Coturnix japonica: one gene and its partners. The protein of the gene in region 2 interacts with the protein of the main gene of each other region in a pairwise test. Links are inferred from orthologs where the notes say so. Each region holds a gene or a part of one and is shown on either strand. Other genes may lie near its edges.

Region 1 (7,640 bases), on a different chromosome or scaffold from region 2:
AGTGGAATGACTACTCAATCGGCAGAATAACTGCATTCATCTGCAGGGTCTGGGGGCTGACCTGCTGGAGAGGAGCTCTGCAGAGGAGGACCTGGGGGTCCCAGTGGACATCATGTTGGCCATGAGGCAGCAGTGTGTCCTTGTGGCCAAGAAGAACAACAGCATCCTGGGGTGCATTAAAACAGATGTGACCATAGGTTGAGGAAGGAGATCCCTTCTACTCAGCCCTGGAGAGGCCACATCTGGAGTACTGTGTGCAGTCCTGACTCACTAGAAAAGTCTCACTTGAGTGCAGATCTCTGAGACTACTCATAAAGTTAGCTATGTGTTTCAGTGTCCTACTAAATTGGAAGCTCAGGTTGTCTTTGTTAACCCACCGCTTTCTCTCTCTAGTAATCAGTTGAAAGGTAATACTGATACACAATGTTAGCATTAAGTTAATTTTCCCAGCTTCGAGGATCACAGGATGCAGGGTCAGAGGTTAGGAGTTGCTGCTTGGGATATATCGGCTGTAAACAAGTGGAAAGTTGAAAATGTTGACACTGTCTTAAGTAAAGAAAGTATTTCTGCATTACTGCTCTAGTACTCGTGGAAAGGTCAAACATTCTTTGCTGAGCTCTAAACAGACAAATAAGCCATGCTGATTTATCACTTGTGCTTCTTTTTAAGGAGATGTTTTGACTTCATTAAGATACACTGACCTAGCTTGAGGTATATCAGCCTGTTTCTGGAACAAAATACCAGATGTCTTTTGCACACAAAGTACTTTACATGGTCAGGACATACGTAACCAACCTAAAAAGAAACATTTTCTCTCAATTCCATGGAGAATGTAAGGGGCGGCATTAAAAACCCACAGCTACTTTCATAGCAGCACTTGGAGTACTTTAGCCTGCAAATGTCACAAGTGCTTCTCTAAGGCACATTCTAATTTTAACCAAAAATGTGAAAACAATAAGAAGTTTTGCACATTAGCTGCAAAAACTGATTGTTTTAAAAGACGTCTGCAGGAAAAGCTACTTTGAGGTATTTCCCCTATTTCTTCTTTGGTCACTGTAGCCAAAATTTTATCGGAAATGGCAAAAATCAAAATGTTTCAAGGACCTCATGAACACAGACATTTCCTGAGGCATTTGTGACTACGTTCAAGTGGCCGTAAATCTCCAAGAACTGTCCTCACTACTAATCTTTGCTATTCAGATTTAGCGCTTTAAAAAGAATCACTGTTGCATAAGAATGGGCACAGAAATGTTTGTTCCCACTGTACACCAAACAAGTTTTTTGTGGGTAAGTCCCCCTGTTGGCAAACGCCACTCAGCAGCACACAAAAGCTGACATGGACGTTCATCCATCCCATAACCCAAAGTTTAGGATCCAAGGCTCACACTCTTCCTCACATCCCAGCAGAACGCTGAATAATGCTAATTCTGCTGCACTGCTTGGTAACAGCCCCACCTGCTAAGGTCAGCACCAGGACTCCTTCTCATTAAGGTGGTTTGCAGACCCTGAGAACCTCATTTCCGTAAGGGCTTGGGAGGGAGTCATTGTTATGCGCAGCTTGTCTCAGAGGTAAACTGGGGTCTGGGGATGGATTGAAAATAGGAGTGAAAACTGAATAATGACTTGGAAGAAGATAAAAGTGTTTCAGGAATTACAGCTGTCCATGGCAGCTGAGGCAACAGCTGAATTTCTCCCTACAGCCAAAGAACTTAGGCTGAAAACTCTGTAAGAGATCGAATGGACATTATTGTCTGTTTGATGGAGGTGAGTGAACGGAAATAAACTTTGCTATCCTGCTACTACAGACACTCACCTTCTAATTCAGCAGTGTTGCCATTTTATGTGCACTGCATTGCACACAACTGCGGTCAGCAAACATGAGATCTTTAGGATTCCTCCCCATCTAATGGGGAGATAGACAGAAGGACTTCTCTCCTTCTCCCGTAAATACAGGGAATGCAAAAAGAGCTGGAAGAACAGGAAATAAAAGTTCACTAAGAAAGGAGGATGAAATTAAAAATAAATAAATAAAAATGCTGAGGAGTTAATGAGGGTGTGTGGCCTGGGTGAAAACAGCTGCTCTGGAGAAGAGAATGGTTTCACCTGGGAGAATCCTCAGCTTGGGAGTTAATCACTTCCCATGTCAGACACATACAATTGCTCCACAGCAAAAGACAGATCAGCTCCAAAAAGTGATTGTTTAAGTGGTATTTCCAGCAGTTTACTTCAAGAAAGCGCTTTTCTGTACGAGAAGAAGCCAAGGTGAGAGACAAGGAGGATTTGAGAGCTTCTCGGTGTGCCTTTTGCATAAGGCAGCAGTAAGAAAGGCATCCCTTTGCTCTTTAGAAGCGAGTATGATCAATTCACACCCTTTTTTACACCCTCCGGACTTTGAGAGAGCGGAGGTCCAATCGCTCTCGTTTCATCCGTGTGTAAGTAGGATTTCAGTTAGAAATCACTCCAAACTGTCTCTGCTCCCCGACGGCGTGGGCAGGACTCACCCCGCCGCCACGGGGCAGGCCCGGCTGGAGGAGCGGGGCAGCAGCCAGAGCCTGCCGTCCTTACCGCCCCGCTGTGCGGCCGCGTCGAGGCGGTGGATGTCGCTGCTCCTCCCCTCCGCCGCGGGCAGGGCTGGCGGAGCACACCTGCCCCGGAGGAGGAGGAGGAGGAGCCGAAGGGACAAAGTTGACTCTGGAAAGTTTACGAGGGAGCGTGGGTGGGAAGAGAAACGGGGAGAGAGGGGAAGGGCGCTGCCCGGCTGCGGGACGCCAGCTCCGTCGGAGACCCGCGGCGCCCGGTGCGGTGAGCGGCGGCTGCCATGGCTCTGAGCAAAGGGCTGCGGCTGCTGTGGAAGCAGGAGCCGGGGCCGAGCGCGCTGCTGGAGGCTCGGGGCCGCCAGGACTGCCTGCTGCTGGAGGCCGGCACCATGGCGGCGCTCAGTAAGTCGGGGCGGGGGCAGCGAGCGGCGTTGCGGGGCACCCGTGGGTGCGTGGAAGCGGCCGGGAGGCGCGGGGATGGGCGGTCTGCAGGGACCCCGCTGAGACGCCGGGGTGCCAGGTTGCTCCCTTAACGCCAGCCCGGGCCCCGTCCCTCCTGCCTCCACCGTGCTCCGGCTGCTTGTAGCCTCCTCGAGGCCACCGGCACGGAGAGGGATGCGGAGTAGGGTCCCGCTGATGGATGGGACTCGGTGCACGAAGTTTCTCTCCGGCTGCATCGGTGCTGGTCGACAGATCAGACGTGCTGATTCTGATTACGCACGGAGAGCAACGGGAAGCTGGATTAGATCTTCCATGATGCGCTGTGGCAAGGCTTCCAGGTTATCAGTGTTTGGCTTTTTATGAGTGAAGAAGGCCTGCCAGGTCTACAGGAGACCGATGGTTTTCGTGAGAAGGACTGTGAAAGTGGAAACATTTTAACCTGTCCTGATAAAACTCTGTTACTGCCACAATGCGCCTTGTGTTGTGTTACTGGGATTTCATACTGTCTGATACTTTGAGATACTTCTGTTGCTTGTTGAATTTGTTGATAATAGTGGACGTGACTGTGCAGAAAGATTATTCTGTATGTTTTTGGTTGGTTTTCAGTGAGCTGTCAAAATAACAGGTCTGATAGGACAGACCAGCATTGTGCTCACCCTCCCTGACCTAAAACTGTATTGACAGTAAAATTGTCTTTTGACATCAATTAATTTTGATATGGCTTCTGTTATTCTGATCCAAACCCAGAGCAACTCCACTGTTTAAAGCCAATGAGCACAAGTAGAACTAAGAGACCAGTGTTCAACTAACAGCCCCAGGCCTATGTAGAAGCAGTCGTTGAGAAGGTTATTTACAATCTTGATAATCTAAGGAATCATCAACTTAAAATACTTTTTCTCTCACAATGTTGCTGTCTTCCACCTGAATATTTGTAGCTAGAAGTGTGGAAGTGATTGAAGAATTGATTTATTCTCTTCTAAAATGTGTGTTATTTTGCTTTAGAAGGGTGTTGGACTTGATGATCTCTTGAGGTCCCATCCAACCCCTGCAATTCTGCAGTTCCATGGTGGCTGCTGTAAAAGCTGGTTTCCCATGCCTTTGGAAAGTCACCTCTGGAGATAGCTGTGATCATTCATGCGTTGGCATCCAGCCCGCTTTGTGTTAATAGATTTGCCATTTTAATTCATTTAGTTTCTCTTCCTGCCTGGTTCTGTTCCTATGTTAGAGGAAAAGGTAGTTTATCCAGTTGAACCAGTTTTAGTTCCTTTCTTCTATTTATGAAGGGAAGGACCAGAAAAGGAGGGAAAACCAGGAGCAGGTATTGTGATGGTAAATTTATGTGAACTGTGAAGAGGAAACTCCATGGTTAAGATGTCAACAGAGACAAGGCCCTCAAGTTGTTACTGGCTGCAAAACATATCAGATAAACACAAACCTCAGGTTAGTAGGTTTGGGCTACTTCGATTGTCCATTTCTGACATGAAGATATAAAGAATTGCATGCACGTGGTGATGAGGAATAATTGTGATTATGTCTTTTGCAGACTTCCATGCTCTAAATACAAACAAATGTGTTAGTTGTACAAGCATTGTAAGTTGTTCGTGCAGTTTTACTGTAGCAGCCTTGATCTGATAGAAGGGTAGAAAGGAATAATTATGAGTGGACAGTGAAGGCTTGGAAACAGATTTTTATTCATTGTCTGTTATTTTGTTTCGTAATTACTGAATGTCTAGTTTGCTTTTGAGCAGGCACAGCATCTGCATTTCTACTGGAAGAGGTTAAGTCACTTCCTTTCCTGCTATCCAGTTTAAGTAGCAAAATGGACTGAGAATCATCCTAGAGGAAGAAATGTTATAAGAAAAATATGTGGAAAATGTATGAGCACAGTATCTGTAGAGGCCATGAAACTGCCAAGCTCAGAATCAACCCTTTCAGATATATAAACCAAAGCTGTGTTACTGTCTTATGGGAGACGAGATACTTTTTCCTCTCTTGATGTAAAGGTTATAATGACAATGTATTTCAAAATTCAGTTTTAATACTTAGAAGTGTTTCTGTGTTCAACTTCAGTAGTGGAAAAATATTATGAGGATCTTCAGCTGTCTGGGAAGCCATAAATGAGAAGCTGAATTGATAACATTCAGGCTGTAAGTGAAGCCTAACTTGAGAAACTTTTGTAAAGGTCAAGGAATCAAAAATCACAGTGGGGAACCTGGCTGCCCTACCCCAGCTCCTTTTTATGTACAGTGAAGCAATGTATGAGTCGCATAATTTTCTGGTCTAGCAGAAATTAAACAGTGCTTTCATAGTATTTTTTTCCCCTCCTTTTCTCATGATGTCATTGTAGGGTGGAGGGTAAAACTTTCTGTTTTGAGTTTAACAGCATGAAAGAATTTCTCCAGGAGTTCACTGAACTAGAACATCAGTAATTAGCTTCTGCCATGGAAGAGAGTTACAGGCTGGAAGGGTAAGGAAAAACTGTCACTGCTTCAGAAGCCTTTGCTTACATGAGAGGGAATATAGATAGAAGTGTTGTCGCTACTTTTAATGCGGTAGTTTTAACACTTTACAGGTGAAGTGAGTTGCATACTAAAGCCATAGAGCTGCAAACATGGTTTACTAACTTCATTATAGAAATGAAATGATGCCAGTAGGAATGTTCAGCTTCTGTGATTCATCACAGAAATGTAATTCTGCAAGGGCAGGGCCAAAGGATGCACAGACAGTTAAAAGTTGTGTTTTACTCATATGCCTCCTTATTTATGTAACTCCTCGCCTTACTGTATTTGTATTCCTAAATCTTACTTATTTTTTTAGAAGTAAAATACAGTGTTTCATAAAACTTTCTGCTGTTTAATGGTGTTCAAACTTCTCCCATCTGTGGACTCATACAAACCTTTTGTGGTTCAAAGAGTCTGACAGAAGCCTTTCTTATTTTGGCTGTGCTGTCAGTGTCTTTGTGTGACTGTATATAATATATAGCATTAACCACATAAAGATAATGATTAAGCTACAGGGAAGTGACTTAGGAACTTCTCCCTTATGTTCTTGGCTGCCTGCAGACCGCAGGAGTGGCTGGTACAAATCTGGTGGTCTTCTGAGTCCATTCCTTGGCTGTGAGTGAATATATCCATACCCACACTTACAAGTATGAAAACATAACCCCTTACTGGAAAAGAATGATTCCAATTATATAGAAAGCTGGTGGATGAACTTCTCCAGGCTGCTGCTTGGTCATGTTTTCAAGCTGAAAAAACACTTTTCTTTAGAAAGCTGGAGAATATATTGCTTAAAATTTTGAGTATCCAGATTCTGTTAGCTGGAACTCTGACCTTTTCCCAACCCTGTGTTGCATGACGTATAGTGTGTTAGAGGATACAGCCTGACTTGTGTAACATCTGTGTGGCTTGAACTGGATGTGAACGGGAAGTTTTTAGCAACAAAAGATTGTTGTATTGTCATTTACATTCATAATGTGCTTTAGGTTTGTCTGAGAAAAAACAGGAGTTGTAAGCATGTCATTTATCTTCACTCATATAACACCAGATGCTGGACATATTTTTATGTTAAGATTATACTAGATGTATTTTTTATCACTTTTTTTTTTTTTAAATAAGAAATTTGTTCAACTATATATTTGCTCTTTCTGGTAAAAATTTCACTCCTCTTTCACCAAAATACTAGAAGAAGCACAAATAAAGCCCCCATCACCATCAGTCCAACAGCTCTGCAAATATGTGCTTGCATGTTCTGAAGTATTTCTGTAGCTGCTAAGCAGCAGATATCTAAATACTTCCAGAGGAAGTATTAGAGGACAGCCAGAATTTGTAATCTGCCCCCCAACCTTCTTCTTGAAGAGCTCTTCCCGTGGATTTACCTGAAAGCTGAAGGTTCTACTGAGCCTGCCCATGATGTTGGGCCTTGGACTGAGGTGCCTTCCTGCAGTCACTGGGCTTTCTGGGCACCAAAGGGCTGTCAGCCATGGTGGTTCCTGCTGAAGTCTGGGGGTCACCACTTGAATAAAGGAAGTTCTGTGCATCTGGCCAGTTCCTGCTGGACATTACATCAAATGTACAGCTTTTGTAAGCAGGAAGTCACACTTGGAAAGTAGGTGTATGTCTTTGTGTGGCTCTGAAATATTTTATGCTTTGAGAACAGCTCACTTTTGGTTGATTATAATTTGATTTTGTTGAATTATTGTGCCCCTCTTGTTTCGCAAGAGTTAAAAATCTCAGCTATCATGCTAACCTTACATATTATTTACATCAGAAGCTTTTAAATAGTATTAAAAATCTTGAGGAATGCATGCAGTATGCAATTCTATAAAGCTCTTACAAACACACAATGCAGCTGTAATTAGTGCAGAAGGGTGGGTACTCAATTATATGTTTAGTGGAAGGAAAGATTGCTAAAAAAACAGTAGTGGGAAGCTTTAGAGGAGTTTGGTAATTACTAGGTGTACTCTCTGCTACCTGCAGCCATTGTTAAACACCAAATAAATGCACTGTGTTTGGAGAAGTCAGCTTGTTTCCTGAGTAACACAACTTCATGGTGAATATCATCAGCTTCTGTAGCACCTCCTTTTCTTCACTCTCCCTGAATACGTATATTTTCCACCTTTCTTTCTTGAAAAAGAAAGGATTTTACTTGTGAGCAGAATGT
Region 2 (7,315 bases):
TAAAACTTTCCAGTATTGCATCAGCGTGATTACACTGCCACTCCCCATCCACAAAGGATAATAATCTTCCTTCAGTGCCAGCACACGCACAGTGCACACATTCACACAGGCTCCCAAACAGTTTAAACGATGGTTTCCTCTCAATGTCTAAGCAAAACACTTGAAACAATTGCAATGGGTGACGGACGATAAGGTGAACAATATTAGGACTGACCTAAGCCTCAGAGTTATGGTCCATGACCTTATCAGAATTACGGAAAGGTTTATAATTAGTTATAGCTACTGCCATTCATTCTTTGCTTTTTGCATGCTCCTCTGTGAACTGCATCCATAACCATTCTATATACAATTCTGCAGAGCAATCATACTCTAATGTTCTCTAATTCTACATTTCTTCTACTTTGTCAAACTGTGTCCGCTTCTCCTTACAGTCTCAGGGGAAACAAATAACAGATCTTCAAAGCATTAGACATTTGCGCCATGTAGGTGAGCATTTTTCTTTTTAAAACACCAGTATACTTCTTACTAGTGATATAAAAATGACCTAAGAACAAATTGAAGCCTAGATGAAAGGTATTGAAGTCTAGCAATAGAATAACAGTGCACTGTGTGCTGTAAGGAGCACGCACACAAGTAGGAGTTTGTCCTCCGGGGCACGTACAGAACAATTACCTGGAGAGAGATATCCATTAGGATTTCAAATTCAAAATATAGAATGATTCTGGAGTGAATAAATACGTAAGGATGTGGGAAAAAGAGCAAATGACTGTTACTATCAGCATTATCCAAACTGTGGTACTGTTTGTAAAAACTATCAGTAAACACTTACCTAGATATTTTCTATTATCAGCATTTCTGCATCCAGTTAGAATTGCCAATCAGAACGTACTGAAACCATGCTGTGTTTTAAAGTCATTCTTGGCAATGCTTAAAATAACTGATCTCGGAAGAATCAGAGGAGCAATGAAAAGTAAATGCATTAAAATATATTGCTTGTTTCATGACAGGATCATTGATGCCATTTGTGCTCATATCAATGTTTCCTCCACAATGGCTTTCATCCTTGTCATTCTATGTTGTTTTGTAATGATGATTTCATTGCGATTCTTTTTCATGAAACAAATTCCAGTCCTCCATGTGGGTAAGAAAGAAATGGCGGAGGAACTGGGAGGTGGGGAAAGGAGAAGTACTTCTACATGTCACTTGAATCTTTCCATGCTCTGATCTCCTCAGGACCCTGACATGAATCAGACAGCGTTCACGTCTGCTCTATTTCTGTGTGGTATCTGAAAGGCCCCAGAAGCGGCTGCAGCAGCCAAGAGCAGCAGGAGCGCCGTGCCACTGCCCACAGCTCCCTTCTGCAGCTCCCGGGGCTGCCAAGTCATTGGCAGAGCAGTCTGGGCTTTAAGGATATTCAGCCTGAATGACGAATCGTTTCAGCTTCCATCTGTACGGGGGAACGTGGACATACAGGTTTTATAAAAACAGCCTTTCTCTTTTCAGAGATAGACACTGACATGAAATATCTGAGAATTATCATTGCCCTCCAAAGGAAAGAGAATAAATATTGTGGGATGCTCTGTCCACCGACGAGGTTTCATTTGATAGTTTCCAAATAATTTAGACATGTTCTGAAATGAATAGGAGATGAATCACTGGATAAATCCCTGGGATGGCACCTCTGTTGATTGCAGTGAATGGTCACTCAGCACAAGCAGTGACTGCTCGGGTCTCTTCCTCGTGCTTCCTTTGATGGATGGCAACACAAGGAGAATGGTGAATGTGTGCATCAGTCCAACCAGCAGCGTCTTCCAAGGAGAATAACAGCAACTGTGGAAAGGAAAAGGCTCCTGGGGCCATTGGGCCTGATCTGCTCAACTTTTACTTCAACAGTTACAGGAAATAAATGGTTTCCTTAGGGTAAAAAAGAAACCCAGGGCTCTGTGCAGCCTGGCAGCCCCGGTACGCGTGGTCCAGGCTGCCCCACCTGGGGAAGCTGGCTGTGCACTGATCTGGGCTAAAACCTGCCGGCAGATTGAATGAATGTCACAGCATGGCAGGGGGAGAGAGGGCAGCAGGAGGATCTGCCGATGGAAGGAGGCTTCTGGCTGCGCTCTGTGCTGGCACATGGAGCGAGAGGGACCGGCCTGAGGGGAAACGGGCATCTGTCCGTGGTGGCACACAGTGAGTGCCACAGGTTGGCCTTAACTCGAGTTACATCGGTAAATCTGTACAGCGAACCTAATTCCACACTGACACGTTTCGTACAATGTCGTGCATCGGTTTGTGCACAACAGCCTCGTGGCAGACCGGCCTGAGGAGCGTTGAAGGCAGGGATAACAAAATGGTGTCCAAAGGAGCGTTTGCTGTGAGCTTTGTGGCCATGCGATAGCAGTGAGCCGGGCAGGGCGGGATGGCGGGGTTCTGCATCCCGGTGTGCGGGCACACCGAGCTACCGCCCGGCCCGGCAGCACCGCTGCGTGACAGCGCGATTCTGTGCGGCTCCGTGCGAGTCAACGACGGCAAAAAGCAGAAGGGACCGGGACCGGCCCGTGTCGCAGCGCTGCGGGGAAGCCCGGCCCGACCCCGACGGGCGGAGGAACCGGGCGGCGGCGCCGCAGCGTGTCCCGGGAGGGCGGGGCGGCCGGAGCGGGCCCGGAGGCGGAGCGGCAGCGCGGAGCCCGGCCGGATGTGAGCGGAGCGGCCGCTTCCTGTTTCCCGCAGTTCTCTCCCCGCCCTGGGTGGTGGCCGCTGCCTCGTCCCCGCTCGCAGGCTCAGGGCGGAGGCGGCCGCGACACGCTGCGGAGCGACTGAGACGCGCTCCGCCGCCGGCTGCTTTATCGAGCGGCGCTCCACGCCCCGCCCCGCTCCGCAGCCGCGATGCAGGCCATCAAATGCGTGGTGGTGGGCGACGGGTGAGTGCGGACCCGCGGACCGACCCCTTCGGTCGGGCCCGAGCCCGAGCCGCGCTGGATCCCGAGGGCGGGGGCGGCGCGGGGACGAGCGGGGGGTTGGGGCTTGTGCGGGCGGGGGAGGGGAGCGAGAGCGGGACGGGCGGCGACCAGTGCCGGCAAATGGAGGCGACGGGAGGGGCGGGAGCAGCGCGGCCGGTGCGGGCCCGAACGCGGCCACAGCCCGAGTCCGAGCCCAGCCCGAGTCCGAGCCCAGCCCGAGTCCGAGCCCAGCCCGCTCCGCGCCGTGGCGGCGGGTGGTGCCGACCGAGGCGGCTGCGCGGGGCGGGGGTGCGGGCGGCCGGGCGGGGCCCAGCGGGGCTGCGGGATGTGAGCACTGGGAGCTGAGCACTGTGAGCTCTGTGAGCTGTGCAATGTGCGTTGTGAGCTGTGTGAGCTGAGCACTGTGAGCTCTGTGAGCTGTGCAATGTGCGGTGTGAGCTGTGTGAGCTGAGCACTGTGAGCTCTGTGCGCTGTGCGGGGCCGCGCCGGGGAGGAGGCAGCGCGTCACGGGGGGAATGGGCTGAAGGGCGGGGGGCGGATCGTACCGTGTGGAGCCACAAAGTACCGAACTCACATCGCTACATCCGCTTTTTGCTGCACAACTACGAACAATCTGTTCCGCTCCAATCGAACCATACGCGCCGTGTGAGCTGAGCGTTTTCCTGCTCGCACGGCTCCCGTCTGGGGAGGTTCCTGCCTGCAAGAGGCTGAGAAAGCAATCGAAACCCAACTCATTAACATCGTACTCAGCTGTAAATCACTGCTGTGCCTACAGCGCTCCGAATGGGATGTGCCTTATACATTAGTTAGAAACAAGTTGTTAGGATCAGGTTAGCACTAAGCTGACCTGTTGGATTCCAGCATAAGCACTGCAGCTGTGATGGGGATGTTGTGTTGCTGCTTCTCAGTACTCACCACCATGTGTTGCCATTGGCCCAGAGGCTCCTTTCTCTCTCGCTGGGGCAGCAGTGCAGGGCAGCTGAACAAGGCGTGGCTTGTGCACTTCCACGGGGCTTTTTTCCCCCTCGGTAGAAACAAAAATCCCAGTGTAGGCCGAGCATAATCGGTGTCACAGCAAACCCCTGCGGGTGACAGAGGCTGTAAGTGTGGCTGATGGCCTTGCTGCTGTCTCTGTAATTGAATGTGGTGGATTAACCTTCCAGTTTCCTGTGTGTGGCTTTGTATTTTTCAACAAGGCTTGGAGTCCCTGAGCTGGCAGCTGTTAGAAAGATAAACTGAGCTCACGTGGCACATGTGTTCGGCCTGCTCTTACTGTGCAGGGTTTTGAGCCGAACACGAGTGTACTGAGCACTTGATCATCTGACAGAGACTTGTCATAGCACTGTAACTGATGGATCCATCACTGTAATTGATGGATGGTGGGCAGTGTGACTGCAGGCAAACCTTTCAGTTGCGTTGACTTTAAAGGTGACTAAAATCCCTTTTTTTAATTGTCATTTTTAAAGTGAATTGATGTCTGTGGCAGTGCTGGAAATCAACGTGGTGCATCGAGTTTGGGTGGGGAGAAAGTTCTGCCTGTTTCCTCTGCTGGGTTGAGGAGCTCAGTACGGACGCTGTGTTACTCAATGACTCGCTCAGCAAAGCAGTTCTTCTTTGTCTCTTGCTTTGTAAACTACTCCTTTTCTCAATGCATTTCCTGCTGGAAATGAAAGTGTGTCATCCCACCCAAGTCTTACACGTACGTGTGAACAAAACACGGCATTCAGTGGGCTTTCCTTCCTCTGCAGTTAGAAGCACATACCTCCTAGGATCCCATCTAGAAGCCGCTGCTCAGTTTTGCTATCTGTTCATTGACTTCTGCTGGGATTTTTAAATATTTTATGGTGCTTCTCTGCTGTTGCTTCACGAGTGAAGACATTACAGGCGTTCTGGTAAATGCGGAATGTTTGGCTTAGATAAGGCTAAAGCTCTGGTACTTCAGGAAAACAATGCAGGTTAAAGATTTGCTCATATGACATAAAACTTAGGCGCTGATTTATGTGCCCTGTGGAGATCCACTGGGAACAAACCAGCTGTGGATGTACCTGTGCAGCCTTAACAGCTGGAAGCAAGCAGGCGGTTTCTGAGCTGTTTTTGTTCTTAGGGCTCTGACTGGTATCTTTTTAGAGCTCTAATTTGGCTACAAAACACAGCATGTTTGCTGGTTGTGCAATCTTGTTTTGCCCTTGTTTTCCTCTTCATTGTGAGGATTGTTAGAGGGAAAATAAACAGCAACTGTTGCTTGTGCTTGTGGAAGATGCAGAGCAGTAGGAACGTGTGCTGGGATAACAAGGGCAGGAGCTGCTGCTGACTGACACTTGTGGAGAGCACTGCTAGGAGTTATTTTTAGCAGCTTTTGTTTTCACTCTGAAAAAGCAGCTGTTCAGTGGTATGAAATCTCAAGTGATCTCGTGTAACGCTGGGGGAAGTTCTGTGCTTTGGAATGATGATTATTGGGTGACAGAGAAACGGTCAGCTTCCTGCTCTTCTGGAGCTGGTTTTCATTGTAAAACTATTGTAAGAAAAGAGTCTGTCTGGAATTGTGCTCGCCTTGAGGCCTTGCTGGCTAAAGCTGTGCTGCCTGATCTGATAACTTGTCAAGAGGAAGGAAGGGGGGTGATGGGCTCCTTACTGAGTGCAGGGTGAGGTTCCGAGCACCTCTGCTCTCCAGTGCCACCTATGGAGAGTGCAGCGACTCCAAGTGTAGGAACTTCTGCTATTGCACTTCTACACATTGGGTAGTACTGGAAATGCTGAGCGGTATATTGGGGAGATGGGTGTCACAGCGAGAAAAGCAGCTCACCTGGAAAAGTGGCATATATCTAAACCTCTGCTGTAGCAAAAACATGGCAATTCTGTCCAAGGACAGTGCTGGTGATGTCCCATCTGCTGCTTGATGTGAATGGAGACCTGAGCCATGCAGCACGCCTGGGGTGGAGCTGGTTCATGCAGCTGAGAGAGGAAGGATGTTGTCAGAGGCTTTCAGAAGGCTGCCACCTGTTTGCAGATATCAACATTTCTGGAATTAAACAGCAATTACTTCAGCTGGCCTCCGCCTCCATTCCTGTGGCTGCAAACAGCAACTAAATTCGTGCAGTTGGGTTTTAGTCGTGGGAGAGGAGGAGAGTGCAGCATCTGTGCAGCTCTGGTGCCTGCAGGATGGAGGAAATGCTGGCACACATTGTCTGATGGCGTTCAGAGCGAGTCACATACGTGTCTGCCAGCAGCAGGAACATGGGGAGCTCTGCAGAACCGCTTAGTGTAAGAAAGGGATGGCGTGCCTTGTTTCCAGGAACAACATATGTGGCTTTACAAAGACTGGTTCCTAGAAGGTGTCAGAAAGCAATTCACTGCAACTCATTAAAATGCTGAATTTCTGTTGGCCATGTTTTTAATTGCAGTCAAATGTTACCAGTTTCATTTGATGCAATGGTGGGTGGACAGAGCTGTGATTAAGCAGTTGCTCGAAATTTTGTTATGACTAAGTTTGGTTTGGAAGTATCTCAGAGTCTACGTCTTTATGTGCAAGGATTTATACTTCGCAAAACAAGTGCAGTTCTAAGTTCCTTATCACAGAAGTTGGTCAGCTTAGAGAAAAGCTGTAAGTACTCAGAGGTTGTGCTTCATTGCAAAGATAGGTATTGAAGTTCATTTTGAGGATTGGTAACTGTAATACCCGATTTGTGGGGCAGTGAGCCAGAAGGCAAGGGAAGCAGGAAGCCTGGAACGGAGCAGGCCTGAAACAGGGTTGTTGAACGTGTTTTTTCTTGTTCAAGTGGCTGCCTGATTGTGCTGCAGATACATGCTGCAGGCAGGCGCTTCTCAGCATGGAATGAAACCTGTCACCACCTCCCTGTGCTGTTCTATTAGCCAGAGCAGACTCACCGGTTTCAGAGCAGGGTGAGCAAAGAAACTTGAGCGCTGAGACAGGTTCCTGGGCCTCTGCTGAAAATGTGGAGTTCCATATGAATTTGTTATAAGCTTTTGTTGTCTGTAATGAACCCACTGGAAAGCGAAGCATCAGACCAGCCAGGTTCTGGAAGCACATGAGCACGTAGCTCTGAGCCTCAGGAAGTTTCCTAGGGAATGTGCTCCTTGCTGCTTCCAGTGTTTGAGGGTTTTCACGTTTGTCCTTGGTCGGTAGGACTGGCAGAGCCTGCTTTATAGCTCGCTGACAGCAGTCAGCAGCACACGGTGGCTGATGAAGCATCCCAAGGATGTGAGCAGCAGGTTGTCCTTGGGGGAATGTGGAGCTTTCCCTCCGCATAGTGGCTTGTTAGCAGTCAGCCCAGTGCCCCTGCAATGGGGACAGCACGGGATCTCCTCTGCTGGCAGCTGTTAAGCCAGCTTAGCTGCATGGC
Region 3 (6,874 bases), on a different chromosome or scaffold from region 2:
CTTGCACTGATTTCACTTCTGTCCATTTAAGCACTTGCTGATTTATCTTTGTGCAGCTACCTACTGTCCGCTCTTTGTTTTCTCTTCCTGCAACTGTGACTGCACTCTGTACAATCTGTCAGCTGTGAGATTCTCCAGATGTGAGACTGTCCAGGTGTCTGATACTTTTGACCCAAGGTCTCTGAACTCTTCTTCTATTTTTTGCTGTTCTATTTTACTGTCCTGTACAGCTTGAAAATTTCTTTTTTTATTTCATTTTCTGGACACACTTCCCTCCATCCCTAACCCTCCCCCATCCACACACACACACTTCCTCTATATTTCTACCAGACCTTTTTCACCAGGTTTCTTACAGTGGTGCTCATCACAGGACGTCTATTTAAAGATCTGTTGGCATATGTTCTTTAATGGATTATACATTCCGGTATGATTTGGGAATGCAGAACCTCTGGCAAGGCTAAGTGAGCACTGAATGGGAAGAGCTGAGAAATAGGCTGAGATATTCTAGTTGCTCATTCTCCTCACTGGGTTGATTACTGTATGTGTGTGTGTTTGTTTCTATTACCATGAACATGCTTGTCCAGGAGCCTGTCTTTTCTAAGAGACTGTTTGAGGAAAATTGAAGGGTATTTGCAGTAAGTTGTGAACTTCCAGGTCATGGCATTTCTTCTGTTTTTCAGACTGAGAAGGATCCTGCAAATACCCTTCTGGAACCACTGTGGCCCGAGATACAGCATGAATTGAAAATAATTGAACCTGAAGAAGAACTCCTGCTCTTTCCAGCAGCCGTCCCCAAGACAGTCCCAGTTTCTGAATCCTCTTCTTCAGTACAAACAAATATTTTTTCCTCTGGTCCAGAGCAATGTACAACGCTGTCTGAGCAGAAATCTGCTGGCAGAACCCCACAGACCACAACTCAGGTGCCTTTATTTGATGCCACCAACACAGAACAACCAGACAGCCACCAAAACTACCAGTCTGATGTGGCTGCACAGCAGAGCTGTGCTTCAGCCCTCCCCAAATTGGGAACTCCCCTGACTAGTGTAGCTGCTCCAAAGAACCACCATTCAGTGGTGGAAGACAGCATGCGTGAATGTGTCACTTCTCCCTTGGAATTGAATTTTCATAGTCAACCAGAAGTTAATGAGCTTCCTCCAGGAGATGAATTTTCTCTTTCCAAAGGAGCACATTCAGAATCAGAGAAAGGAAAAGATAGCACTTGCCAGCTGCAGAAGGAAAGTGATGATCATACCAAAGTCCAGACTCGGAGCGAGATGCCTGAGATAGTGACTGCTGATAGAAGGGACACATTATCCTCCAAGGCACTGAATGGAGCTGGAATCCAGGAGCTGAAGGAGGGCAATGCTGTCAGTAGAACTCACGATGCTGGTGACCAGGATGATGAGGATAACTGGGTAGATAATGTACAGAGCTTAGAGCTTGTGGAGCCCTGGGAGGATCACCAATGGGTCACAAGTCCACTCCATTCCCCAACCTTTAAGGACATTCAGGAGAAGACAATACCAGAGTTTCAGCCACAAGATCAGAGATCAGAGGCAGGCCTTTCCCTTAGACCACGATTCAGTCGCAGCCTGTCTCTGGATAGTAAAGATACAGTGATGAGTTTGTGGACTATCCCATTCTCTTTCATTGATGCCCCTGAACAGCAGCAACCTTGCAGTGACATTCTGCCACTGGAAATGCCCAAAAAGTCCATCTCTCCAATTAGTCTAGGCAAAGCTAAGCAAGATGAGAATAATACGTGTCTTCCAGAAGAACCTCTGAAAACTGATGAGCTGAGGTATCCAATCAGCAGGGAGGAAACACCAGCTAAGCAAGAGCCCTCCAGAATCCTTCCAGAGCCAGAGGGGATAAAAATGGATGTAAGCAAAGAAAACCCTTGGAGGTCAAAGCTCGAGCAGTTCTTACCATACCAAAATGCCCCAAACAGTTCTTTACAGGCAAAGATCACAAAGGAAGAGTCATCCAGGTCTCAGGACATTGCTCTGGCAGAAGACACTGTTACAAAAGTGTGCTCTGCCACTGAGTCACTTCAGAGTAATAAAGATGAAGAAACACCTCGTAAAGTGAAAACTAGGCCGTCATCCCTCAACTTGGATTCACTCCTTCCAACTCCAGATTTCTTAACGTTTGAAAGCCTGGCCATGCCTTCTGCTGCTGGGAACTTCCTGTATGGACAGAAGGAAGTGAAAAGCAGTGATTCAGTCCCATCTCTGTCAACTACCTGCCCTGCTGGGGCTAAAGGTGTTTCCTGGCGCTCTCCTTTCAGTGCCCACGTAGATCTAGATTTAGATTACCTGGCAGTGGCCCATGCCACCACTGGCCGTCGTAACTCTGCCCCTGTCAGTGTGTCAGCAGTCAGGACCTCCTTCATGATTAAGATGTGCCAGGCGAGAGCTGTGCCTGTGATACCACCCAAGATTCAGTACACCCAGATCCCCCAGCCCCTGCAGGCTCAAAATTCTGCTCCACAAGTGGAGAAGAAAGAAGCAGAAGCCAAGCAGGCTGGCAGGCAGACTCAACGAGTGGCATGGGGCCACCTGGAGCCCCCCAAGAGCCCAGTGACAGAGAAGAAAGCCAAAGCGGAGAAAGAAAACAGTGACCCAGCTCAAAAGGACTCAACATGCCCCTGGAACAACAGCATTGGCTCTCCACTGGAGTCATCTCAGTCCAGCCATAACCCTAGCCTGGATGCTCCTGTTCTGCGCCGAAAGCGCACTTCCGAGGGAGAGACAGGTGGAGATAACCCCCAGTCTTCAAAGATGGAGAGGCCATCAGGGTTCTCCAAGCCTTCCTATAGATCTAGGCCTGGGAGGCCCCAGAGTCTGATTCTCTTCAGTCCCCCTTTCCCCATTATGGACCACCCCTCCTCTTCAGCAGACTCCAGGGTGTTGTTATCACCCATCAGAAGCCCTACTCAGACCTCCTCTTCGAGTCCCATTTGTGGTGATCTGTCTGAAACTTCGCGGACAACACCTGAGGGAGTGATGCTGCGGAACAAAATGACCATCCCCAAGAATGGCCAGAGACTGGAGACTTCTACCAGCTGCTTTTACCAGCCACAGAGGCGCTCTGTGATTCTGGATGGACGAAGTGGGAGGCAGATTGAATAGTAACTGCTTCCCTTGCTCTCTTTCCATGGTAGATGGGATGGGAGTGTCTACACCAAGACCAACTCTGTTTCCATTTTGCTGTTGTTATTGCTATGTTGTGCAAGAAGAACCCAATCTTTACCATTTTCTGCAAAGTATCTTGCTATGGAGGGTCAGTCTTTTTGTCTTGCTTTTCCTACCCTTTCTTATCCCTTTCTAGTCCCTCACTGTCTGCTTTTTATTTTTTGTAAGCAATTCCCAAGGAATATTCTCATTGTCTAACAAGCCCTGTGGAAGCCTTATCCTCTCTATAGAAAACAAAGGAAAAATAAATATTGGGATAACTACAAAATGGGGCTGGGGAGGAACACTGTTCTAAAGCACAGCAGCTCCGAATGCAGATAAGGTGAGGAGGTAAGTTCAAATGTTTGGAACCTCTTTCTGTCTTTTCCTCACAGTCAGCGAATGGCTGTGTCTATCTGTCTCTGCCGTATTCTTTGGACAATGTAAGTCAATATTGTAGGAAACAGAATAGCTGAAGCAGAAGGTGAAGCTGGCATGAGCAAGACACGAAAGGTGTAAGACACCCAAGGATGTTCCAGTAGCAAACATGCAACCCAAAGGTGCTGCCTCCAACGCTTCTGTTTCATCATAAATGTGCTCTTTCTAGCATGCGCAAGGTGTGGAATGAAAGCTGAACAGGAAACACTTAGTTGTTCTTTGAATTTTCCAAGCCATGGTTATGAGGTTTGTTGAACTCAGCCACACCTTCCTTTGATAGGCTGAGGAGTGAGTGTTCAGTGGTAGACTTCTCAGACTGGTATCAATGGAAGTGAAAATATGGCCATAATGAAAGCCAGTATCAACTATTTTTGTCATTGCTTAAAGCCAGAGGGCAGCTCGGCAAATATAGCCAGTTATGCTCCACACAGCAGAGGAAAGCATGAGGATCTTCTGAACTGCATATCCTTGTGCTATTGCGCTCTTGTGTCTTGACTGACATAATCCTTGGCCCTTGGTCTTTCATTGCCACTGTGTGGCATGTCTCCAGGTGCTTCCTCCTCCTTCAGACTCCCCATCCTTACCATTTTACACTGTTTCTGTGAGAGCATGGCTGGTTTTCACCTCCCTGCTCCTTAGTGCTTTCAAATTGATTGAGGGTATGGTAAAGAGGATGATCTGTGGGACTGCAGAACAGATCACGAACAATATTCTGAGAGGTGGATTTGAAGTGAATTAAGCTCTCTCCTGAAGGGCCGTTATCATTACAGGCAAATACATGTTCATATAAGCAATAGCTGCCATGGGAATAGAATTAAAGCTTCCTTTATAAAGCCTCTAAGTTAACTGCAGGCTCATTTGTTGCCTGGTACGTGATAATGGGCAATTGCAAAGCCGGGTACAGTCTGTACTGTTTCTGCAATTTAAATGCCACTAGTGGCTACAGAGGAGATGGGAGCACAGGTATTGCTGCCAGCACCGAGATTGTCCTTGTAATGGTACTTACAGGGACCATCATTCATGGAAATGTCTGAGTTTGTAGATCCTCCATTGTGTATTATGGGCTATAGTTTGAATGGTATCTGAGCATCTGGTAGGAAATACTATTAGCCACCACAATGAGTGTCAGTCAAAATTTCCCAGTGGATGTATGTTTAGGGCTTTTTTTTCCCCCCTAAAATACTGGCATTCAAAAATTGTTAGCAAAGTCAGCCCATGAGATCTTGGTCTGTCCTGAATGTGTCACTTAATTAGTGTCATTGTGGCTGAAGGGCCCAAAGTCTGTATCGGGCTTTGTCCACACACTTTGATTGCTAAAGGAGAAAGATGCCAGGGTACTGTTGAGAAGCTTTGGCATACAGGTGCAGGGAATAAATCTTCATCAGGATTTTATCTTGCCAGATGCAAAGGGAACGTGAAAAAACAAGAGGGCTTTTCCCTGTCACAAGCTGCTGTATTTGATCCTCCCCATTGCATTCCTCACTCACATATTATGCAATATGAAAAGAAACAGAGGAGAGAGCTGAGTCTGTGCAGTCAGTTTTGTTGAGGAAGAATATTAATTCAGAAAAGGACCTAGAGTTCTTCTTTGGGTCCATGTTGTCTCACAGATGCCAGCCCATGCTTTACCTGGGCAGGCTGTGGATGTCAGATCCAGCATATGCAGCTTCATAATGATCATATTATCTTCCTCCCACACCATAAAATGCTCATGCTGCCTGCCATTAAAACCAGGGGACTGCCAATCCTCCATGCTCCTCATAGTACCGCTCTGTGCTGCCTTTACATGCACCCAAGTGCTTTTCCTGTTGCCTTATGGGAAAACTTTTAACCACAATGGCTGGTTAAAGGTGAATGAGTTGGGAAGGTGTGATACGATGTATTGTGGTAAGGTTTTCCAGAAAGTAAAAGTAACGGAAATGGTGCCCAGATTTTTTGGCATCAACAAAATAGTTTACTTTGGGAAGGGATTTATATTCTCTCAGTTCCTAGAAGTCTTGACTGCCAAGGCATCTGGAATGGAGCCAGCCAAACTCATAAAATAATGTGTCGAAAGAAAAAGAAAATGTGATGAAACCTTGGCACCTTAAAACCATTCTTTCTTTTCCTTCTTGATCTCATATAAGCTGATCTATGGACAAGAAGCGAGGTCTGGCAATTTGTATATAGTACGCTCTTAACAGTGTTCCAGTAAGAAATAGTTTTGCCATAACTGGGGAAGTTTCTGCAAGAGAAAATTACTGGAAAATTATATGTAATATTAAAGATCAGCCTCAAATGAAATCTGTATCCAGACTGTACTTTTAAAAGGTGTTTCAGAATTTGAGCTCAGATTCAGGTCCTGGGTTTTAATTAAGCATGGATTCTGTAATGAGATTTTTGTTGTGTAGCTATTTACAGTTTACTCTAACAATTTCAGCTCCCACCCTCAGCTGATAGATCAGCTTTCCAAGATCCTAGCCAAGGGAGTGTAATGCAGGCACATCACAATAGCTTTATGGTTATAAGTGGGCTTGTATCAAGAGCTGAGATTATGCAGACTTTTGGAGCTGGGTGCACTTGATTTGCTGCACAGGTGCCACCAACCACAGCTGTAGACTCAACTTCTGCAGTTTCCAACACTTGAGAGTGGGTCCATATTGATACTGCATCTGTAGTGAGCTTCAAGAACCAGATAGTTGATAGTTGGACGGAGCCAAAAGCCAGAAGCCATTGACCAATGAGTAATACTGACTGTGGTTGGATCTTCCCATGAGCCCACTTTTCTGAGCCATTCTTGAGATCATCCCCAGGGTCAGACCTGACGTCATCTTCACTTTAGGGTCACTACATTCTCCTCTGCGACCCTGCAGTATCAGATGGAACCTGAGACTGGAAGCTCTTCTGAAGCTCAGGGTTTTGCAGTTGTACGTTGTGGGTACCAAATTCCTGTTCTCCATGGTGACTCTTTAAACACAAGGTTTTAAGGAAAGATTGTATTATTATTTTTTAAAATTGTTCCTTGGTTTTGTTTGCTTGATTTCTTTTGTGAAGCATTGAGAGGGATAGAACTGTGTAATGGGATATGGGCCTGGCCCTACATTTGAAGTTTTATATGAGAGCTAAGTTGGTTGCTCTCAGCATTGTGGAAGGGACCTTCCTAGGAAGACGGTCACATCATCTGCAGATTTGCAAGGATTATTTCAGAGCCCAGGAACATTTCATTTCCTGTGAAGAGTTTGAAGACCTCTCACTAAGTCTGCAGATGGACTGGTCTGAAT
Region 4 (7,315 bases), on a different chromosome or scaffold from region 2:
ACCAGTCTCTGTTCAGAAACAGCAGGTCTAGTGGGGGGCTTCCACCACCTCTCCTTCCTTCACTACCCCTTCTGAAGAGCTTAGAGCCATCCACTGCAGAACTACAGTCTTAAGAGTGATCCTACCATGCTTCAGTGATGGTGACTAAGTCATAGTTTTCCTGCCACACAATGGCCTCTAACTCCCTGTTTGATGCCCGTGTTGTGTACATCACTATAGATGTACTTCTGCTGGGCTACGCTGCCTCAGGCTCAAATCTAGTGAGTCTCCACCTCCAACTAAGAAGCTGATTATCACACAGAACAGGACCACACAAGCTCTGGCTGCCATTCCCAAGTCTGTTGCATATACAGTAAGAGTCATGCTACTTCAAATTAAAACAGTGCATGTAATTTAATGGAAGCCTGGTATACACAGGCCAGAATAATGTCATCGTACTCTCCCCAAAAAGCATAGAGACTCAGTTAATATAAAGCATTTTAAAGCATTAAGGGGGAAGTTCTTCACTAGGAGAGTGGTTAGGTCCTGGAACAGGCTGCCCAGGGAGGTTGTGGATGCCCCGTCCTTGGAGGTGTTCAAGGACAGGTTGGACAGGGCCCTGGGCCAACCCAGGTCATTCTGTGATTCTGTGATTAAAGTGGTGAAATCCTTGCTATTAAGTGCTAATAACCGCCTCATGGAAAGTACATGTGAAATAGGTCTGTGTAACTGCTTTAATGACACATACCAATCACTGACTTCACTGACATATGGTTGCACGTTATATATATCCAAAACTCGATCACACAAGCTGTATAGATTCTGGAGAACTACAATCCTAAGTTTCAGGTTCAAAACTTCAGAAGCGTGACCTGGGAAAGATCATTTAAGGTGAGCTTACAAGTGCTTAACACGCAGAGCACTGGGATTAAAGTGTGTGAAGAATAAGAAAAGGTTAAACCATTAGGCTGAAATAATCCAGGAAGTTCATGGCTAACTCTCTTCATCAGCTGTTTGTTCCCCAGAGTCTTACGCTTTCAGTCCGTCCCATCAATGAAAAGAAAAAAAGCAAGCCTCCACTGAATATGAGAAGTGCTCTATGTTGCCTTAGAAGAACAGCATCACTTCTAATATCAAACTGTATGCTCTGCTTAAATACATTTATTTACTCAGCACAGGAAATGCTGGCTGCTCTGCCATTCACTGAACATTGTGATCTCATGTTTTTGAACTGGCAGATCTCAGTCTCTCATACATGCTTGGAATTCACAGATTAGATAAGGAGAAACAAGCAGCCTTTTTGTTTTTTTCTTTCTTTTTTTTTTAATTCACAAGTAATAAGCTGCATTCAGATCCCTCAGTTTGGTCAAACAGTACGTGATTGCTCCTGGTATGTTACCTTCTCATAACAAAATGGAACAAGCCCTGTTTTCTTTTTGACCTGTTCCAAATGAATGGAATCAGTGGGTCACCACCCTTACTCAGGTGACACCCCATGAGCAGCCGCTGCCCTTACAACACAGCCTGAAAAGCACTGGCAAGGGGGGAGCCCAGGATCCCTGATGCTACTGAGCCTCAGAAGGGAGACTCCTTGCTGCTGCCAATATCACGGGTTCACGCCTGGACGCCTACCTGTGTGACGTGGTGTAGGGAGCTGTTTGGCAGGGGGTTGGACGCGATGATCTCTAAGAGGTCCCTCCAACCCCTACAATTCTGTGATTCTGTGATTTCTTTTTCTGCAGAAGCACCTCACAGCTTCACCCAACTTTGTATATTGCGTCATTCTAAGTACATAAAGGTGAGATAGAACCACCGTCTATGGCTCTAAACTGTGAGCAGTTTGCGGGCTTGGCAGGATTTCAAGCCCTTTAAGTTCTTTGGGCAGTGGCACAGGCTGCCCAGGGAGCTGGGTGGAAATCACATCCCCCAAGATTCTCAAGAACTGTGTGGAAGTGGCAACTGAGGACGTTGGTTTGGTGGCACGGAGGGATGGGTCGGTTGGTTGACTAGATGATCTCAGAGGTCTTTTCCATCTTAATGATTCCGTGATAGGTTGGGATGGGCAAACAGCCTTCCCTTTGCTACAGATCGACCTGCCTCCTCACTTTGTTGTCTCTTTGTTGAGGTGCGTCCACAAGGCCCTGGTGAACAGAAGAGCAAGCTGATAGATTCTTAGGTGAAAATATAAGGCTGGCATATGGAAATGGATCCAAGTTGAAAGAGGGAAGATTTAGGTTGGATGTTAGGGGAAGTTCTTAAATCCGGAGAGTGGTAGGCCCTGGAACAGGCTGCCCAGGGAGGTTGTGGATCCCCGTCCTGGAGGTGTTCAAGACCAGGTTGGATGGGGCCCTGGGCAACCTGATCTAGTAAATTGTTATGTTGGTGGCCTCTGCCAGGCAGGGGGTTTGGAACTACATGATCTTGAGGTCCCTTCCAACTCGGGTTCATTCTGTGATTCTGTGATATGGCAAACTGTGCCTATTTTTAAGGGTGGTGAGTCACTCACTGATTCAAAATAATCAGACATGTTAGTTCAGATTAAGGCTTAGTACGTTACTCCAGGCATACAATTAATGAAGATAAGTGTCATACTATACTTTATTTTGACATTTTGAGGCCAGCTACCTGACACCAAGCTTTGCAGAAGGAAACAACATCTGCATTTGCAGGTATTTATTACTAACCAACAGCATTTCTTCATCTAACTCTGACTGTCCAAAAGCATTCAAAGTCTTGCAGGTAGAAAACATGGCCAGAACATATCAGGGAAGGGCCTAAAAGTTACTTTCTAAGGAAGATAACACCTCCACTCCCCCAGCAGACCTTCACTAAGACAGAACAATGCCAGAATTGCACTGTATTCCAACTTCGAGGCAGCTATTTCTATTGCATGCATGGGAAGACTGAAAAATCAACTTGATTTTCTCAGTTAGAAATAAGAGCCCTGGAACAGATAACCCAAAGTTCCCTGCTTATCCCTTATAAGCAGCCTATTCTTCTCTTTTTCTTCTCAGTAGAGAAAAGCCCCTATAGAGTACATGTCACACTGACTGTACAGGACTGATATGAACCGAACAAACAGCACACCCTGTCAATGACATTTCAAATGACATAAAAAACAAACTAAAAGGGACATCTTTCTATTTCTGTTGTTTAAGCTTGCTAATGAAGTCACATCCATTACAATCCTGGGTCATATCCAACAGAACCTCAATGCTATTATGCCCAAAGGGTTGTATTATAGCTTAAGTTTGCAGTTCAGATCACCGCAGAGCAGTTTGGGTTGGAAGGGACCTTAATGCTCATCCAGTTCCAACCTGGCTTTCCAGACGATTAGTGGGTATAAGAACACAATTGCTGCTACCTTGCTGCAATGGAAGCAGGACATTTACACAAACTCGCTTTACGCAACCAAGAAAATGGCCCTACCTTATTATTTTTTATTATTTTTCATTAAGGATGGCCACGATATTCCGTGAATTGAGGATGGGGGATGAGCACGGTACTGTCCCGAAGGGATGCTTTCATTAGATAGCTGTGCTCGTACTCTAACAAACACAAGCACCTTCAGTCAGCTCAGCTCTATTCCTCCCGCACCTCACGCTGATACTCTCTGCCTGCAGAGACACGTTTTCAACACACACCCCGAAGCAGCCCACAACATGCTGAGCAGCTAACACACAACAAACTGAATCACAGAATCACAGAATGACCCGGGTTGGAAGGGACCTCAAGGATCATGTAGTTCCAAACCCCCCTGCCTGGCAGGGCCACCAAACATACACATTTACTAAGATCAGGTGCCAGGGCCCCTCCAACCTGGTCTTTGAACACCTCCAAAGGACGGGGCATCCACAACCTCCCCTTGGGCAGCCTGTTCCAGGGCCTAACCACTCTCCTAGTGAAGAACTTCCCCCTAACATCCAACCTAAATCTTCCCTCTTTCAACTTAAATCCATTTCCCCTTGTCCTGCTACTGTCAGCCCTTTTGAAGAGTTTACTCCCCTCCTGGGAGTAAGTTCCCTTCAGGTATTGAAAGGCTGCAATGAGGTCACTCCGCAGCCTTCTCTTCTCCAGGCTGAACAAACCCAACTCCCTCAGCCTGTCCTCATAAACTGCAGGCAGACAACTCGCCAAACACACGGACAAACACCGACAGCGGTAAGGGCTGCTCAGACGGTACCTCCAGGTGAAGGCAGGCAGACGGCCGGCCACCCCACACTGTGCCCTCAGCCAACGGGCCGGGCAAGGTGAGCGGGAGGGCCCTGAAACAAGCAGCCGGCCGCCGGGCTAAGCGAGGGGTTAGGCCCCGGGTCAGCCCCTCCCCCGCCCCTCATCCCTCATCCCTCCCCCCTCCCCCGTGCCAGCCCCGGAAGCGGCTCCCTCGCCCTTCACACACACAGGCGATGAAGGGATGGTGAGCGGAGCCGCTCGCACTAACCGTCGTGGTCCCGCTCGCCGGCGCAGCGGCTCCGCCTCGGGCTCACACACGCGGCTCCGCCTCGCTCCCCATCCCGCCGCCTCCGCCGCCCGGCCCGCAAGGACGGCTGAGGAACAGCCGCGCACTACGCACCGCGCACGCGCTGCCGCCCTCGCTCGCACCTCCGCTCGGGGTGAGGGAGGGAGGCACTCTGCGCATGCGCGGTGACGCGAGAGAGAGGCGGGAAGGGGAAGAAGCCTCCCGCGCGCAAAGCACGATGGGTAGTGTAGTTTTCTAGGGGACTCCTACCGGAAGTGGGATGGGCCGGCTTCCTGCCGACGGACTACAACTCCCAGCGGCGGGGAAAGGGGAGCGGCAGTACCTCAGGGGGAGGTGGCTGGTGCGGTAGTTGTTGGCTCCGGAAAGCAAATAGGATCCTGGGCTCCATCAGGAGAGGGGTGGTCAGCAGGGATAGGGAGGTGATTGTCCCTCTCTACTCTGCTTTTGTGAGGCCCCATCTGGAGTACTGTGTCCAGGTGTGGAGCCCTCAGTACAAGAAAGACATGGAGATTTTGGAAAGGGTCCAGAGGAGGGCCACGAAGATGATCAGGGGGCTGGAGCACCTCCCCTATGAGGACAGGCTGAGGGAGTTGGGCTTGTTCAGCCTAGAGAAGGCTGCGGGGTGACCTCATTGCAGCCTTTCAATACCTGAAGGGAACTTATTCCCAGGAGGGGAGTAAACTCTTCAAAAGGGCTGACAATAGCAGGACACGGGGAAATGGTTTTAAGTTAAAACAGAGAAGATTTAGGTTGGATGTTAGGGGGAAGTTCTTCACTAGGAGAGTGGTTAGGCCCTGGAACAGGCTGCCCAGGGAGGTTGTGGATGCCCCGTCCTTGGAGGTGTTCAAGACCAAGTTGGACGGGGCCCTGGGCAACCTGATCTAGTAAATGTGTATGTTTGGTGGCCCTGCCAGGCAGGGGGTTGGAACTACATGATCCCTGAGGTCCCTTCCAACCCGGGTCATTCTGTGATTCTGTGTTATTCTGTGCCTCGTCTGGTTTGTAACGCCCCTAACGGCTGTGCTGGGGGCGGCGGCTGGTGCTGTGTGAGGTAGTGTACCCATGGTGTTCCAGCGGCTTCTCGGCTGGGGTAAACTCATAAAGTTGGGTCATGTTCACTGAAACCCCCCGGGGCAGGCGAGGGCCGCAACCCCAATTGAGCAGGTTGACATGGAAACGTAAGTATTAGCGGTGTCTGACTGAAGGCTCGGTGAGCTACAGGCCTTAGAATGTGTGACACAACCAGCGAGGAACACGGCATATGAATACAACAGCTGGTGCAGCTGTATGGATGTTTACATCCAGCCTGCCTTCCCTATAGTTATAGTTCCCTATAGCTGCTGAGTTTGACATTGACAGCTCGGAAGGCAGCAGCCATCTGCTCAGCTTCATCCTCCTATAACCGCTTTGAACTGGAATTGTCACCGGCTCCGGATTGCCGTTCTGTGAAGGGTAAGAAAACGGAGAAATGCTGGATGCAGCGTGAGGAGACCTGTGCCAAGAGACACATCTCCATCTCCACAAGCATCCTGTTTACACAGATAGTCAAAAGAATGTTGTATCCCTCGTCTTTTCTGTTACGTTAAGCACCTGCGTATCTTGAATCCTTTTCAGGATTCCTAACCAACGGGGGCATTTGTTTCAGTCAGAAGCAGCCCGATTCGTTCCCACAGCCTCGGATATAATCCCTGAGCTTTTGGACACATTAATACAGTGGCAGCGTGCCACCTGCTTCATTTATTCACTTGAGATTCAATGCTTCTTAGTCCCTGTCAAATGGGCTCTTTGTGCAACCTTCTGTGGTAATGTAAGAGGTCCCCCACAGGAATTTGCGCTATTCAGTAGGAAATACAAAGGGGAGGGTTGTAAACACTCTGATTAGTGTTGGAGCACAGAGATATTGTCTCCGCGGCGTATTACATAACCACACGACTTCCAATTTACTTCCTCCCTTCCAGACGAAGCAGTTTAACAGCAAGTACTTGCTGGTGTATTTAACTTAACATCACAGCTAATGTCTTGGGGTTTTTTGCTGTACAAAGGCTGTGTTACTTCTGGCAAAAGAAGAGAGGAAGGTTACTTCAGAAACATCCTTAGTAATTTGAGATGATTGCCTGTAAGGATCTCCACTTGAAACAACAGTCGCCAGAGGCTCTCGGCTCTGAAGAATGAGCATTATCAAGGCTGCTGCCAACACAAGTTCACACACAATGGGCCCATCAGCTAACGAGCACAGAATGAATCTTCTCCCATTTTTGGATAAAGACAAACGAGTGATTGTGCATAGAGCTTAGTATACCAGTTTACTGCCATGTGAAACACATTTGGATGACTTCTGACTTCACAAAGCTCATTGTGGTCTGAAGCTTACTTACACAGATGAGGGCACATTCTTACTTACACACCCTGCGTTTACTTCATTCTTACTGTTTTAAGGACAAAGTCGAGAAAAGATGATAAGCTCTATGCTCTGCCTGACCCTCTTAAATGTACTAAGGAGAACACTAGATGTTTAGAAATACTTTTTATTAGAAAATAGGTGGGGAAAAAAGCAGAGCTGTGTCAATGAATAATTCCCTGCCATTTTCTCAAGAGAGGCAGAGACTGTCTTTTTATTAATGACTACATCTTATGGCTGGCAGCCTAAAATAGTGCCTCGGAAGCTATTTTAGTATCTCATGTTCTACGTTTGCCCATTGTTAGAAAAAAACTGCTCCTTTGAACAATTAAAAATGCCAAATATTAGCAGGTCAATAGGCAAAGCAAGTTCAGTATTTCACTGGCACTCGGTCTGTATGATCAGATCTGCTGGTTCCATGGATGAACTCCATAGGCAGTGAAGCACTGTGAAGTCCT

What was found.
Region 1: the proteins of RAC1 (region 2) and SYNJ2 interact in a two-hybrid assay, tested with the Homo sapiens proteins (2 studies listed by BioGRID and IntAct). The link is inferred for Coturnix japonica from reciprocal best matches to the Homo sapiens genes RAC1 and SYNJ2.
Region 3: the proteins of RAC1 (region 2) and ARHGAP31 interact in a two-hybrid assay, tested with the Homo sapiens proteins (2 studies listed by BioGRID and IntAct, with this or other methods). The link is inferred for Coturnix japonica from reciprocal best matches to the Homo sapiens genes RAC1 and ARHGAP31.
Region 4: the proteins of RAC1 (region 2) and RALBP1 interact in a two-hybrid assay, tested with the Homo sapiens proteins (2 studies listed by BioGRID, with this or other methods). The link is inferred for Coturnix japonica from reciprocal best matches to the Homo sapiens genes RAC1 and RALBP1.

The regions. Positions count from the first base shown.
Region 1 is NC_029518.1:46,821,788-46,829,427, forward strand, and holds the start of SYNJ2 (synaptojanin-2), read left to right. Parts: upstream 1-2,562; 5' UTR 2,563-2,818; coding exon 2,819-2,939; intron 2,940-5,426; exon of another isoform or gene 5,427-5,445; intron 5,446-7,640. UniProt on the Homo sapiens protein: Inositol 5-phosphatase which may be involved in distinct membrane trafficking and signal transduction pathways. May mediate the inhibitory effect of Rac1 on endocytosis.
Region 2 is NC_029529.1:8,461,699-8,469,013, reverse strand, and holds the start of RAC1 (ras-related C3 botulinum toxin substrate 1), read left to right. Parts: upstream 1-2,695; 5' UTR 2,696-2,880; coding exon 2,881-2,915; intron 2,916-7,315. UniProt on the Homo sapiens protein: Plasma membrane-associated small GTPase which cycles between active GTP-bound and inactive GDP-bound states.
Region 3 is NC_029516.1:72,329,141-72,336,014, forward strand, and holds part of ARHGAP31 (rho GTPase-activating protein 31), read left to right. Parts: intron 1-680; coding exon 681-3,134; 3' UTR 3,135-6,874. UniProt on the Homo sapiens protein: Functions as a GTPase-activating protein (GAP) for RAC1 and CDC42. Required for cell spreading, polarized lamellipodia formation and cell migration.
Region 4 is NC_029517.1:88,812,598-88,819,912, forward strand, and holds the start of RALBP1 (ralA-binding protein 1), read right to left. Parts: upstream 4,613-7,315; 5' UTR 4,421-4,612; intron 852-4,420; 5' UTR 728-851; intron 1-727. UniProt on the Homo sapiens protein: Multifunctional protein that functions as a downstream effector of RALA and RALB. As a GTPase-activating protein/GAP can inactivate CDC42 and RAC1 by stimulating their GTPase activity.